Linked DNA regions of Rattus norvegicus. The protein of the gene in region 2 purifies or fractionates together with the protein of the main gene of each other region. This does not show direct contact. Links are inferred from orthologs where the notes say so. Each region holds a gene or a part of one and is shown on either strand. Other genes may lie near its edges.

Region 1 (7,429 bases), on a different chromosome or scaffold from region 2:
CATGCTTATTGGGAGTTAGGAAAAAATAAAAATAAAAAATCTATACCTGTAAAATCATCTTGAAATGTTTAGTCCAGAACCCAATTCTAAGCCCTCAATCCTGGGAAATAAAAAAAACTGACTTAAGGAGTCTTAATTTTGAGCCTAATTATTGGTCTAAAATATGGATTCAACAATTCCGAGTTTTCTCCAAATCTGCCCACTAATGCATTTCTAGGCCTCCATTATGTTATATATACTTAAATATCTACTCAAATAAAAAGAACCAGCTGGTAAAGGTGGTTCAAGCTCATAATACCAGCAACTCAAAAGGTTAAGGGAGGCAAGAAGATTGTTGCCAAGCTCAGTGTCAGCCTGAGTAACTTAGTGAGACTCTACCTCAAAATAAAGTGCTGAGGATATAGCTCAGTGGCAGGGTACTTGCAGAGCACTGAGTACTTTCCTTTAATTCCAAGAACTCCAGTTAGTTAATAAGGTAGAACTGCTTCAATAGTACCCTAAATAAAAGTTCAAATAAACAGCCAACACCACCACTGTGTGGCATCATTTCTATTGTCAAGTATCCTATACCTAACGAAACTGAACTAGACCCAAGATTTTTTAACCTAAACTTCCAGCATAATTTCTTAGTCTTGTTATCTTCATTGTTTTTACTATAACGGAACATGTCAAGTATGTTCTAAATGTGTAGCAATGAGTAGAAAAAAAATAAGAGTATCAAAGTGGTACTCTACTAGTAAAATAAAATTCCGAAAGATAACTGAGTCATATTTCTAAAAATTTCTAAAAGCATCCCGAATAGTGGCTCAGATGGAGCAAACATTCCCCCACCACCACCCAAAAAACAAAAAACAAAAAAACAAAAAAACCACTGAAATTAATAACTTAAAGCAAACCAGAGTTTAGAAAAAATGTCTTACATGCAGACTTAAAGTCAAAACTTTCTCAGAATCATTTCAGATATGAGGTCCCTCATTTTACAGAGAATGAGACGATTTATTTCGCTCTCCAAAAAACGATGCTGAACAATTTAACTGAAAATATTAGTAATAATTTTCAGCTGACTTAGAAAAACCCTTACGCTATCTCAAAAAGTTTAAGCTTTCTTTTTCCTCTAAAGATTGTAAAGGCAACCTCCAAAACTGGCGGTGCTAAATACTGAACAGTAATATAAATCAGTGGAAAGGAAATACTTTCAACCAAACGGGAACAGTTAAGCCAAAATAACTTCTAGCGTTACCGAAGATTTGAAAGATTAAACCTCAACTTTGCTAACGAAGAGTAAAAAAGCAGCTCCTCCTTGCACTGGGGGGCAACACACACCACTGAAGCAATAGCTCCACCTACTGATCCATGATACTTCCTTAAACATTTTGGCACCCCAAAGTCTACACCGCTGGAGTTCATTCCCCCTCCCTCCCTCCTCCACTCGCTCTGACCCAACCCAAGTCCGTTGAGTCACTAGCTCCTAGCACTCATCCTCCGTGCTCTTTATTCCAATTCCTTTTCCCTCCAGAAGGTTCTGCACGGCCCACAAGTATGAAGAAAACCGCAACGTGTCAAAGCCCGCGGCCACAGCATGGATCCCGGATTTGGATGAGCACCTGAGGCGGCTCAGTCGTGCGCTCCCGGGAAGAGGCCCCGGGCGCGTCCTAACACCTTCTCCCCGGGGTCTCATTCGGTGCACACTCGTTCTCCGGGTTGAAATCGTGGCCTCGCGCCCTTGCCTCCGCCGGCCCTTCAGCCCGCCAACAGCCGGCCTAGCCTCCGCCCCCCTCCGGGAGCCAAGGGACCGGGGAAGCCTCGCAATGTCCCTCCGCCAGGTCTTCGCGCGAGTCTCTTCCCCGCAGCGCTCCCCAAGTCCACCGACCCACGCCCCTCTCCGGTGCCCGCCGGACCCTCGCCCGCTGCCCTTCCTCACCCTTTCATCTTCTCCGTCTGCTGAGGCCGTCGTTACAGCCGCCACCAACGCCGTCGTCCTCGTCGCCCCGAGCTCTCCGCGCCCTAAGCTCAGGCCACTCAACCTCACACGCCGGCCTCTTGGCTGAGGGGACGACGAGGCCTCGAAAGCCAAGCCAGGCCCTGAAGCTCTAGAAGACGCGGGGAGATCTGCCGCCGCCGCGCTGCTGCCGCCGTCGCTTCTCCACACGTGCACTCCGGACACTCAGCTCCCGCCCGCAGCTGCCGCCAGCCAGACCCGCCGCCGCGCTGTGACCTTTCACCCCGCCCCCTCAGCGCGCCGGCGCGTCCGCCGCGTCGCGCGCAACCGCAGTGCTCGGCGCCGCCAGGACTCCACCCCCTCCTCTTTCTCCAGGGCTGGGCCTACGGTCGGCTAGCTCCACCCACCCTTTGCGACACTCCAGTGGAGCTTGCTTGGTAGGCTCCGGCGGTAAAATCCGGATTTTTCCACCCTTCCCTCTCTTTCAAACCAACAAGATCAGCCTGTCCCGCCCCCACCCACTTTCTAGACCTCCAGTGACCTTCAAATCCTCTTGTCCCCTAATAGGGTTTTACAAAATGGATTCTTCTCAATGTAAGAAAGCCTGTGGAGGCTTGCAGTAAATGTGTTTTAAATTCAAAAGGTAACGATGGGTCTGGATAATTTGGCCATCCTCCAGCAGGCAAACCTCACAGGTTTTTTTTTTTTTTGAAATCACGTGATAGGCTTATGCCTTCCAGCCAGGATTTTACTGGGGCCTTTAGAGGCGGGACTCATCGCCATTTCCGGTCCCTAGAGCGTGACTCAGCGTCACTTCCTTAGCAATGCACTTTAACCCTTGCCATCCTCGTTTTCTGTACTGTAGTTTATATAACCCAGTCATTGTGAAAAAGAAAATAACGCTTTTCCTAAATCGCGGAACCATTCACATCCAAGCAATCCGCAAAGGTTCAAGCCTGCGAGACGCAGCGTGCCTGGGGAGGGGAAGCGGGGTGGGGCTTGAGGTCACATGACTAGCTAGGGCTGACCCGCCTCCTGCAGCTGAAGACTTCCCCTCTCTCAGTGACAGAGCCTCTGGGTCCGGTCTAGGTACAGATTCTGCATTGCGAGCCCGGGCAGGTGAGGTGCGACAGGTAACTGGTGGCTGGTGGGAACGATTGACGGGGTGGGGTGAGAGTATATAGACACTGGGATGTGTGAACCGCGGCGTGCGGTGCTTGGGGCTCCTTTCGCGTTGTCCTCCTGCATGAGCGAGGAGCTCATTTTTCTAGATCTGCTGGACCCCTGACCCTTCACCTTAGTCCACGACGAGGGATTATGATGCCCACCTTTCCCTGTGTTGAGAGCGAGTGCGGCCATTATGGTTCCTTCTTTAGAGCATTTGGGGCTGATTCAGGTGGTAGAATTGTTTTAGCCATTTCTTGGGGGTCTGCAGCAAACGACGGGTCCCATTCCCCAAAGCTCCTTCCTTGGCAAAGGCCTTGGCCTGGTTGATCAGAATGGAGGAAAACCCCTGTAGGCAGAGGCGTCTCCGGTGAGACAGGCTTAGTAGGGAATGTCACTGATATGGCCCTCACTGCAGTCACACTGAAGGGCTTCCCCACAAATGTGCGTTCTCAGTGATTCTAAGGGTTTTGTCCGACATCCTTGCAGGAGAGGTTTAGTGAGTGTTTGGATGAGACTGGAAGGGTAAGAACGGGCCTTATTTCTTCGGAGAGAAGAAGGTTGTACAATCCTCAGAACAGGGTGTTGGTAATGCGACAGTCTCAGTTGAATGGGAAGGCGATGAAAGATGGTGTTACCTTTTTGGGCTGGAGACCCAGACTAGTTTACAGGAAAGTGACGAGGTTTTCCCGAAGGGGAAGTAATTCTTTGGAAACTGATCAAGCTGAAAACATAATTAATCCAAATCTATTTGCCTATAATTTAAAGGCAAGGAGAGTCTAGACATTACTGACTGTGGGTCATTCCTTTTTGACATTTCTTTTAAATCCTACAAGTTATGCCCTTCCCAATCAGTTTAAATCTGTGAAGAAATGCTTATGTTCCTAATTCACTTCTGCATTTGTTAAAGAGATTCAAGTGACCCTTCTCAGACTTGAGTGCATAATATTTTGTGAAAAGTACAGAAATTGTTTTGCTTAGGGTTGCCCAACCCTTTGTACTCCATTTTATATGCACCATAGTAGCCAATGTTTTCACCTCAAACAATGCACTTGACCAAAGGAATGTTCTTCAGTTTGGGGCTAAACTCTTTTATTTGTGCTACAAGCTTAGAAAGTTCATTGCTTTGAATCCAAAGGCCTTACAAAATCAGAGATTTGACTTTTATAACCTAAAGAATGCATTTTCTTATGTGAAATAAGATTTTTAGTTAAATCTCAGTTCTATGCAATGTAATTGAGGAATCTATTTTTTAATATCTGCTGAGGACTTGGGGATATGGTTCTTGCTTCCACTGCATGCTCGAGGCTCTTCACCCAGTCCTCATACTAGAAAGAAAAAAAAAAATAGGAAAAGGATGGAATGATTATCTTACAGTGATTGGTGCTCTTTTTTATCCCCTTCCAAATTTTCTTATCAGATTTTGTTTAAAAAGCTAAAAGCCAAAACCTTAAACTGATAACAATTTAACAAGATAGAAAGACTGGCCTATTTGCTACTTCTTACTAAAATATTGCCTTAATGATTTTGCATTGCCCAAATTACCATTGTGTGCTTGTGATCCAGACTAGACAATAGGTATGTTTCTATAACAAGCTTAAATATAGATTCTTAAATAGTTTGTTCCTTTGCATTGCTAATCATTCTGTGGTATGGATGGCACCACAGTTGGTTGAACCATTCACTTGTTGACATTTTTATTTGTGTCTGTTCCTGCACGTAGAGGCCAGAGGTGCCTTCCTTTGTTGCTCTCCCCACCTCAACCCCCCTTTTTTGAGCTAGGTTCTCTCACTGAACCTGACTCACTGATTCAGGAGCCTAGCTGGCCATTCAGCCCCAAGGATTCTTCTGTCTTTTGCCCTGAGCACCGAGGTTAAAGGCACAGTACCACACTTTACTTTTACATGGCCACCTGGGAGGCTGAACTCAGATTTTCATATGTGCAAAGCATGTGCTTTCACGACTGAGTCATCTCCTCAGCCTGAAATATAATTTTACCCATCATTTTTCCTCCAAAGTGAGAGAGAAAAAAAATTGGCACTGCTTCATGCCCATGTGACATTCCACCAAATAAACAGAATTCCTTCGTGTTTTAAAAGTCCAAACCAGTTCTGTGCAGGTGTACTGGGCTGGAGGAACCCAGTTTGAAAGCACTGAGTCCTGGTGGAGGAGAAGTTCATAAGAAAGGCTGGATGAGTCTGCAGTTTTATTTCACAGTTAATTGCTCCAGTTTTAGGGAACTCAAGAAAGCAGTACCTTAGACTTCTAATGAAATCGGGAGGATTAGCAAATCTGGAATTGGCAACCAAACAGCTAAGGAGAGTAAATATTAAAGAAGAATTTGATGCTGTATACACACAGATGGTTTGAGCGCTGGAAGGCATTTCTGATATTAATGAGATTTCTGTGTGGGTCTGGGTATAATGGCTCCCTCCTTTAATCTCTGCACTGGGTCTGGCAGAGTTCTTTGAGTTGAAGGCCAGCCTGGTCTACAAAGTGGGTTCTAGGCCAGCCAGGGCAACAAAGTAAGACCTTGTTTCATAGGTGAGAAGGCCTATGGGGGAAGGGAGAGACAGGGAAGGAGGGGGAAAGAGAGAATTTAAGGGTTGGGGCCCCAACGCCCTTTATTTCTTACTCTGAAATCTCCCTTAATTACCCTGTCTTTGCAGGGTGTCACCAGTGAACGTGTGTCCTTTCCTTTGGGCCACGGTAGCCAATTAGTCCTTTAGGCTGATATACCCAATATTCTGTATTTCTTTACTTCTCCATATAGGCTACTTTTGGTAGCTGGGGTATTCCTCAGTAAACCTCCCTGCAGTTAAAGAACAATCTGTCTCTGTTATATCTTCTGCACAAGGATGCTGAAGTGGATAGAAGAGGCCCTGTTAAAGCAAACAGAATACTGAGGGCCCTGATGGGTCGTTTATTGAATAAGCGTTGAATGATTAAAAAGGAAATTAAACTGCCTTAATTGTTACGAATTATAGTTCCCTAAAGGCTGTGCACTAAGTATTAACTTCTCAGTCCAAGTTTCCAAATCCTAAATAGAGTAGATATGAGCCTGTGTGGACTTTATTAATTCAGTAAGCACCTTGTTTCCACAGCGTGTCGCGCTTACTGATAATGGTAAGACCTATGGTTCAGCCCTAATGTTAGAGGATCTTCATTCAGTGCCTCCATTTTGGTCATGTGCCTTCTTAAGTGCAGCCGATGCTGGAAACCTCAGGCTTCCATACTAAGAAACTTTCCTCCCAAGGGTATTGTGAATGAGATAAGCCTAGATAATCAATTTGAGAGTAGTTTGAAAGCTAGATGGCAGTGAGCGTAACTTAGTATACTCAAACTTTTCCTGAATAGATTTCCCAATCACAGAGGCCTGGGATTAGGTTTTAGCCTTCCCTATCATTAACTGTCTGACCTTGGGCACTTAAAATGAAGTCTCTTTCTGTTTAAATCTAGCCCGTAGGTATTATCAAGGTAGATCATAAGTCTACAGTGGTTAGTACATACTTTATAAGTTTTTTTTAAACGGAGGTCAAGCCTAGCTTTCATCATGGTCTTCTTCCTGTCTGTTTCCTAAGTGCTGGATTACCGATATGTGCCACTCCACCAACAGAAGTTCTCACTAATTGAACGACATGCTTCAGTCATACACCCTGAACTTCTAGGAGAGATATACAGTGCCCTACAAGAGTGACAAAAAACAAAACGTTTTTGCACAAAAGGTTTCTGTTGCAGGGAATGGACTAAAATTTGAAATGAGTCTATCGTGGAAAAATAGAGCCAAAAGAACTTTTCTGGGCATGTTCTTTGAAGCTAGCCATGCTGTAACTCATATTGTTCTCAAACCACCAGACTAAGGCTAGTCAGTGTGCCTCAGCCTCCCAAGTGGCTGGACTGCAGACTCTAGTGCCAGAATATCTGGCTTTGACAGACTCCAAACTTGCTTAGTAATTAGTAGGAGCTGAGGAATAGCAGCATAATTCCCTTATTTTGGTTTTAGCTATAGTTCACTGGGTTTTTTATGTTAATTTTTTCAATGTTTATGATCATTAATGCATGGAATCGTTTTTAGGAAACTATTTCTCCACTCTTAAAGTTTGTTCAATATAAGAAACAGTATGGACATGAACTAGAGTAAGAATTTTTTCCTTCTTTAGTGATTCACAAGGATTAGTGGTTTTGCATGGGAAGTATGAGTAAATAAAATAATAATTGAAATAGAGCTTTTCAAGTTTATATTTTTTGTTAATCATGACAAAAATACTATAAGGAAAATAGTTTAAGAAATAATTGAATATTTGTATTAAAGTCAGTTCCCTATAG
Region 2 (7,301 bases):
ACGGAGCTAGCTTTACTCTGAGATGTGGCCCCATACCCTCAAACCCCATGAGACGGCATGATGAAACTGCCTCACCTCTGTGGTTCCCTTCAACCACAGCTGCACAACACTCCTTTAGCAGCCCACTGCTCAGAAACCCTTTGTCAGGGTCCTAAGAAGGGTGACATCGTCTAAGCTTCTGCACATTACAGGCATCACACCTCAGGGATACCTGGCAGAAAGCCAGCTGTCCCTTACCCAAATGTTACCAGTGGCAGGGGGAGTACCACCTCAACTTACAAACACTGTTTGCCAGGTCAGCTCCACTGCCCCGGCATTCTAGTTCTTTGGGAACCTTTTCCTTGTCCTGAACTGAAGTAGGCTTCCACCCCTCCAGTCAGTCTCCAGATAACCTGTGCCCAGCTTCATGGAGAAAGCGTACAGACTCTAGGCCACCCACTTGCTCTCCTCACCTAAAGTCCCTAGCCACAGCCCTTCACCCTCTAGTCACGAGAATACCTTGTCTAACACAATCTTCTCTTTGGCTTTCTTACAGACTTCCATTCTGTCTGAGGAATTATTCACTTGGCATTTACTGACCCACTTTTGAGACATATGACAGAGCAAGAGAAAAGTGACTACATGGAAGCAGGCAGGGATTTCAGTGTGTCCTGTTCATACAGTCCCAGAGCTGAGAACAGCAGCTGACACACACTGCCGCAGATGTTTGCTGGGTTGATGAACAAATGAAGTCACACCCGGAACTACCAAATTTCCCCTCTCATCAGCACAAAGCCAAGTCCTATGTGCTGCCTAAACTTAGAACCACTAAAACCCCCTACAAGTGTCTTGTCAAAACAAAAGCTGTCTCAAAATGCTTCCCTTCGGGGGAAGAACCCTGGGACTGACTGTATAGTCCAGTCCTTTGCTTTCCTACTTTATCTTGTGCTGCCTGCCTTGTCCCCCCCAGTCTCTGCCTACACCCTGAAACAGTACACCGAACCCTGAAACCCCATTCTCCGCCCTTAATTGCCTCACTTCCCCACACCCGACACTGAGTCCCTCTTTGAAACCCCACCTAGGCCTTCATGAAGACGAGGCCCCCTGTTTTCTTTCCAATTCCTCTGACTGTTGCGTTTTCCTGCTCCACCCTTTAAAGCTATGGTGCTGGGCTTTCAATATCAGTTCTGTCTGCCTGTTTTTGTAATACATATGATACGTGTATGTCCAATCATTGATTACAAATCTATACCGTATTATAAAGCACACTCAAAACATTTTGACCTCCAGTGTTCTTCCCAATGTAATCATGATATAAACCCAAGTTTTAAAAATCTGACCATTCTTATTTAAAATAAAAGGATTAAAAATCCCCACATACATGGAAATTCTAGTACGTACTCCCAGCACTCAACTGAATCATGAGGCATACTCTCTTATTTGAAAGAGCCGAGGTCTACATCACACTCCCTGACTGAGCACACCTATCCCTAAGGGGTAAAACACCCAACAATAGCCAGCTCCTAGGTTTTTATTCCCGGTTTAGCTTTTCCCCAGCCTTAGGCCTACACACAATACTGACATTTCTTTGTAAGTCTTACTACCCCCTCAAACTCAACAGTTGGTTTGAATCTGGACTCACTAGCTTTCCAAAGACTTCTGTAGGCTCTCCTCCATTTAGTTGCTCGAATACTTCCTCTTTAAGCCTTTCTGCCATACCACAGCCAATCACCCAGTGCTTTCAGCTACTCTCTTTCTTATTATTTCCTGACCCCCCCCACACACACACACTACTACCACCATGCCCATCCCATACCAGGTTTGCTGCAGCTGGCTGCCTATGACCTTGTCAGCCTGCCCTCAGCTCCATATTTCCAAAATACAAATCCATTTATTCACCCCTCAGCTTAAATGCCTGTGCTCACTACCTAGAGTCTTGTTGGGGGAAAACCAAAATATCCCCTGGCTATCTCACTGACCTGACTTCTGAGATTCCAGCAACGCCGCTCCTCAGCTCTCACTACCCTGTGCTTACATGCACATACTGTTCTGCTTGGATTCCCCCACCTCAGCCTTCCACACCTGGGGAACATTCCTTGGGCCTCCGCCAGGCTGTGTCTAAGAGGAGCTAGCGTCTCTTCCTCAGAGACTCCACTGTCTTGTGCAGCAAGCTTCTAAGAATGACGGAATGGAACCAATCAACTTTAAGAAGGACTAGGGGCTGCTTCTGTCCTTTCAGATATCAGAGACCAAAATGAACTCCTTCCTCCTTTACAGAGTCTCTACAGATACCATGGGTTAACTCTTGGTCCTTTTCCTCCAGGCTAAATATCAGAAGTTTTTCAAATATGCCTCAGAACATGGTATTCATAGCCCAGGTTCCCTAGTTCTTTCTAGTTCCCTAACACTGTTTCAAAGTAAACAGTGAAATCTGAGCTCTTAAAGATGTTTTCCACCAAATCACACTTAGTCATTGTGGAAAATAACACTGTACCCTCACCTGACAAGAGCCAGCAGCTCAGAAGCTCAGGCTGTTGTATGAACTAAACCATTTTAGCAAGGATAGCATTTCCAAACCACATAGAGAAATAATTATTTTACCTTAGACAAAAAAACAAACCTCACGGACTCAAAATGTCATAGAGCTGAACACAGTGGTGCTCAGAAGGCAGAGACAGGCGGGTCTCTCTGAGGTCAGAGCCAGCTAGGACTTAATAAGATGTCAGATAGGATATTAAAACAGGGAATTCAACAGATGTCCAGCTAAACTACAGTGTCAATGGAAAGGTTTTGTTTTTAACTTTTAAACCCAGTTAAAACAAAAGAATTATCCCAAAGTGTGTGTGTGTGTGTGTGTGTGTGTGTGTGTGTGTGTGTGTGTGTGTGTTACGTACATACACATGGATGTACATGCAAGCATGTGGAGTCGGAGGTCAACCTCCAGTGTCTTTCCTCAGGAACTGTCCACCCTATCTCTCATTGGGAAACGAAGCTCATCTATTAGACTACAATGGCCAGCAAAGAACTTGTACAGATGCACCCGTCTCTACCTCCCCAGCCCAGAGTCTAAGCCTGCACGGCTATACCTAGTTATTTATATGGGTGCTGGGGTTCAAAGTCGTGTCATCATGCTTTTGTGACCAGCACTTACCAAGTACCTTGAAAAATCCCCAAAGTATCTTGATTAAATCAGAATGGCCTTTCCAGAGCCAACAACAACAATGAAAAAGACCCTAACACTTTGGAGGCCTGAATTTATATTATATGTAACTATTAACACAGAGGGCTGGGCACCTCCAGGGCAGAGAAGAGCTTTGGTGTTCAAAACCATCACTAGGTCTTTTTCACTTCAACTGCTATCCCAAAAGTAGGGCCTCTCAGCATCTCAGGCAGCATGGGCACTAGGTATCCCCTTGACACAAAGCACCCATTCCTCCAAGTTTTTCTCCACTTGAAGTTTTTCTTGAGACAGAGTTTCTCTGTGTAGTCCTGGCTGTCCTGGGACTCACTCTGTAGACCAGGCTAGCCTTAAACTCAGAAATCCACGTGCCTCTGCCTCCAGGGTGCTGGGATTAAAAGTATGCGCCGCCATGCCTGGCTTCACTTGACTTCTTGTATCCTATTGTCTGCAACCCCAGTCTCTGTCCCACTATTTTCATGTTGCCACAGAGCATTCCCTGTGCCATACACGTATAGTGGAAAGACATCCTCTACTTGGAAGTCATCTGATCTGCCTTCAAATCCAGCTTTGATACATATTAACCTTGTCATGCCGCCCTTGATTTATATTCTGCAAAATGAGGAGACTTTCTTCAAAGGATTACTGTAAAATGAAATGCATTACTACATGATACTCAAGCCACAGGCCAAATATAAGCTCATTACCACTCTTCTTATTCCACGTTGGAGAACATAGGTTCCACTCAGAAAGCTACCATTTATTTGACATGTGACTCTAAAAGCATGACTCATACCCTACCCTCCCTTTAAATTGGGAACTGAAATCAATATTAAGAAACTGTCTGCGTTAATCTTAAGACATAATCATTATATATATATTAAAAAAAAAAAAACACGAAGACTCAACTCCGCATCCTGATCTGTATATACACGAGGGAGGTAAGGTTTCATCCGCTGTTAATAACAACCATTAGAAATGAAGGTGGAAAAAAGACGGCAGCAGGCGGCAGCTAAATCGTTAGTTAACCTTCCCTTCTTGGTAGTGGATCGTGGCTGAACGCTGTATTGAGAAATGCAAACCCTTCCTCCAAAGGGCCTCGAACAGGGAAGGAGTGATCCGGCAAATTGGGAGACAGGGTTCCAACCAGCGACGCGCATTTCCCCGAAAGGCTGATGCCAGCTCCAGAGTCCCCAAGGTGGCCCTGCCCGGCTCCAGAGACCACAAGGCCGCTCCGCCCGAGCCAGATCAAGGTCCAGAACCCCAAAGAGGGCGCCAAACCCAGACCGCCCCCACTGCGGCCCCCGCCAGCAGCCGCTCCCGCCCAGGGTCCCCGCGCCCCCTAGCCTCTCGCAGTGCTTCCTGGCTACTCACTCGACACCAGAGAAGAGAGGAGAACGACAAGCACAGCCATGGTGCCACGGCTGCTAAAGCGGAGATGAGCCACACGAAAAGGGACGCCGGGACTCGAGCGAGCACCGCAGTCAGACCGAGTGACGCGCTCCCGAAGGTTCCGATCCCCAAGTCCCTCCCCTTTAGACTCTCCAAGACAAGGTCTCGGCCAATCGCCAACTACGCCGCTACAGGAGAGAGACGTAGCCTGGGTGACGTTCGCAATTGGGGCGGGGACTAACGTGATGAGTGGCATGCTCTGCCAATAGGAGTCAAAGGTTTTAAGAGCAGGGCGGTTCTGTGCTGCCGGCCCACAATGACCGGTCACGAGATGAAGGGTAGGGCCGGCGGTTAGAGCAGGTACCCCCCTTCGGTTGCAGGTTCTCGAAAGCCCACAGTGAAGCTTACTCCCAGGTGTGGATCCTTTTTCCAACCTTCGGTGACGATTTTCAACATGGGCATCAGTCTTTCCCGATCTTGCACCTCCCTCCCGCTGCGACTGACAGCTGTGGAAAGCGCTGGGCTAGCTCAGGTTTTGCTCTCCGGAGTACACAGACATTGAGTACCTGCGGAAAGGAAGCCTGGCGCCTGGGGGAACCCCTGCCCGCCTAGTAGACGTGCTACTTAAAATATAGGGCTCCCGCTTGAATCTGAGTTCTAAAGAGTAATTTTTAGTGTCTGAAATATTTATTTTATTTATTTTTATATATACGAAGTATCCATTGTCTGAGGGTCAAATATAACTGGGTATCCTGTTTTTCGATTTACTGTATTGAACAACCCTGCTTCCAAATACTACATACGCAAGGAGTGATCCGATAGAATATTATTTCATTCGATCCTCCCTTGGTTTCTAATCCGATTCAGGGAGGCTATGTGATGGCTAGACACACTAATTAGACCAAAATCACCCCTTGGCTCATAGGCTCTTACCTATGATGTGAGGCAAAAAGTGGGCACATAATCTGTGGTTAGAAAACAACTCCCCAGCTGATGACCTTGAAAGATGAATATGATTTTAATATGTAAGTGGAGGATGTGAAAAGATCCAGGTAAGGAAAAAGGGTAGCGTATATGGTAGGGAAAATACCTTCTTTGGTGAACGTTTAACTATTTACTTTGACAAAAGAGATTTTATAGAGTAGGAGGACAGAACTAAAATTTTAGTTTGTTCCTTCCTTTCTTTCTTTTTTGGGGATGGAACCCCAGAGCTATGCATAACCTAGGCAAGGGCTCTCCCACTGAGCCTTACCTCAACTAGGAAAATGTTTTTATTTTTTATGATCGTGACTTGTATGCAGAACTACAATTCATTGAATACAAGTGGAGGAGGTGGTTGAATGTTGTTCAGTGCACAGATGTAAGATAGATTCGGTTGAGTGGAAATGGCTCACTGACCCTCAGTTTAGCGGCTCTGTTTTATCCTTGGAATCGACTGAGGGAGAACAAAGGGGCTGCAGCAGCTCCAGGAGTTGGGTGAAACTTAGCCAGCCCAAGAGCTGGAACCAAAAGCCCCCCACCCCTACCCCCACTATTTAGAATGCAGTTTCTAGAAACTACTATGTTTACCAAAGCCACTCTCAATTTATAATGCAGTCTGGACTTCCAAACTTAACTTCAGAATGCTCTTAACTCTCAATTTTGAGTTTTTGTTCAACAGAGAATTTGCACACATGTGTCTTTAAAGGACTATGAAGGGGGTTTGTCTTTCTATTTGGAATGTAAAATTATTATATTAGAACCAAAAAGTCTAAAGCAGATAATTTCAAAAGCACAGCTGTGCTGTGAACATTAAAAAAATAATTTAAAAATCATTTTTCAAGGGCCAAGGAGTTGGCTCAACTGGTGAAGGCACGAGCTGTGTAAAACTAAATTAGATTCCTAAACCAATCTGGATTTGGTGATGTGCATCCCAGTATTCCTGTGTTGAAATGGGAGGCAGAGATGAGAGAATGATTTGGAAGTTCCAGGGCCAGTTAGCCTGGAGTATACAACATAGCATCAGAAACAAGAGAGACCCTGCCCCAACAACCCCTGAAACTTGTCATCTCTGTCTCTGTCTCTGTCTCTGTCTCTCTCTCTCTCACACACACACACACACACACACAGGGGGAGAGAGAGAGAGAGAGAGAGAGAGAGAGAGAGAGAGAGAACACAAAATAAGTAGATAAAAGAGAATTTAACATAAAGTCCCTTCTGTGCACAGCAGCTAAAATTCATTCTGGTCCATCTTGCTGCATGTTGGAGAACAGGTTAGAGCCAGCAGCCCTGCAAGAGTGTGTCTAAATGATCTCATTTAGGGATGGCCGAGCTCCCACAAATTCAACCAAAAGAAACATACAGCCTTTTCTGCTCTTAAAAGAATCCTAGGACATCCTGATTTATTTTAATTTGAGAAATAGCAAAAAAAAAAAAACCACTATAAGCAGGTTAGAATACAAAATAACACTCTCATATGTCAAATTCACGAATTCTCTGTCCTGAGAAATACCTTTTTTGGTTTTTTTTGACTTGTGAGTCTTTTACATCAAAGGCTTCTTTTCAGCTGAGGTATCAAAGAGGCATTAGCATTCAGCGGGATAAACACTGTTCTAGCAAGCCTTCTCTTTGTGGCATAGATGGAGATGCTGAAACCTAGGGAGAGCAAAGGTCCTGGAGGGCACATAGACTCATCAGCAGTTCTGCTTTCTGAACACAGCCCTCAGGTTCAATCTTTAGTGAAGAGCATACGGGTAACTTTTCCATGGACGCA

Evidence for each region. The genes of interacting proteins can lie anywhere in the genome.
Region 1: the proteins of Atp6ap2 (region 2) and Atp6v1a purify together in Homo sapiens (co-immunoprecipitation; 3 studies listed by BioGRID and IntAct, with this or other methods). This does not show direct contact. The link is inferred for Rattus norvegicus from reciprocal best matches to the Homo sapiens genes ATP6AP2 and ATP6V1A.

Annotation. Positions count from the first base shown.
Region 1 is NC_086029.1:70,064,535-70,071,963, forward strand, and holds the start of Atp6v1a (V-type proton ATPase catalytic subunit A), read left to right. Parts: upstream 1-2,967; 5' UTR 2,968-3,058; exon of another isoform or gene 3,059-3,072; intron 3,073-4,339; exon of another isoform or gene 4,340-7,429. Other genes in the region: Naa50 (N-alpha-acetyltransferase 50), read right to left, coding at 1,922-1,929. UniProt on the Homo sapiens protein: Catalytic subunit of the V1 complex of vacuolar(H+)-ATPase (V-ATPase), a multisubunit enzyme composed of a peripheral complex (V1) that hydrolyzes ATP and a membrane integral complex (V0) that translocates protons.
Region 2 is NC_086039.1:12,879,015-12,886,315, forward strand, and holds the start of Atp6ap2 (renin receptor precursor), read right to left. Parts: upstream 4,657-7,301; 5' UTR 4,572-4,656; coding exon 4,532-4,571; intron 1-4,531. UniProt on the Homo sapiens protein: Multifunctional protein which functions as a renin, prorenin cellular receptor and is involved in the assembly of the lysosomal proton-transporting V-type ATPase (V-ATPase) and the acidification of the endo-lysosomal system.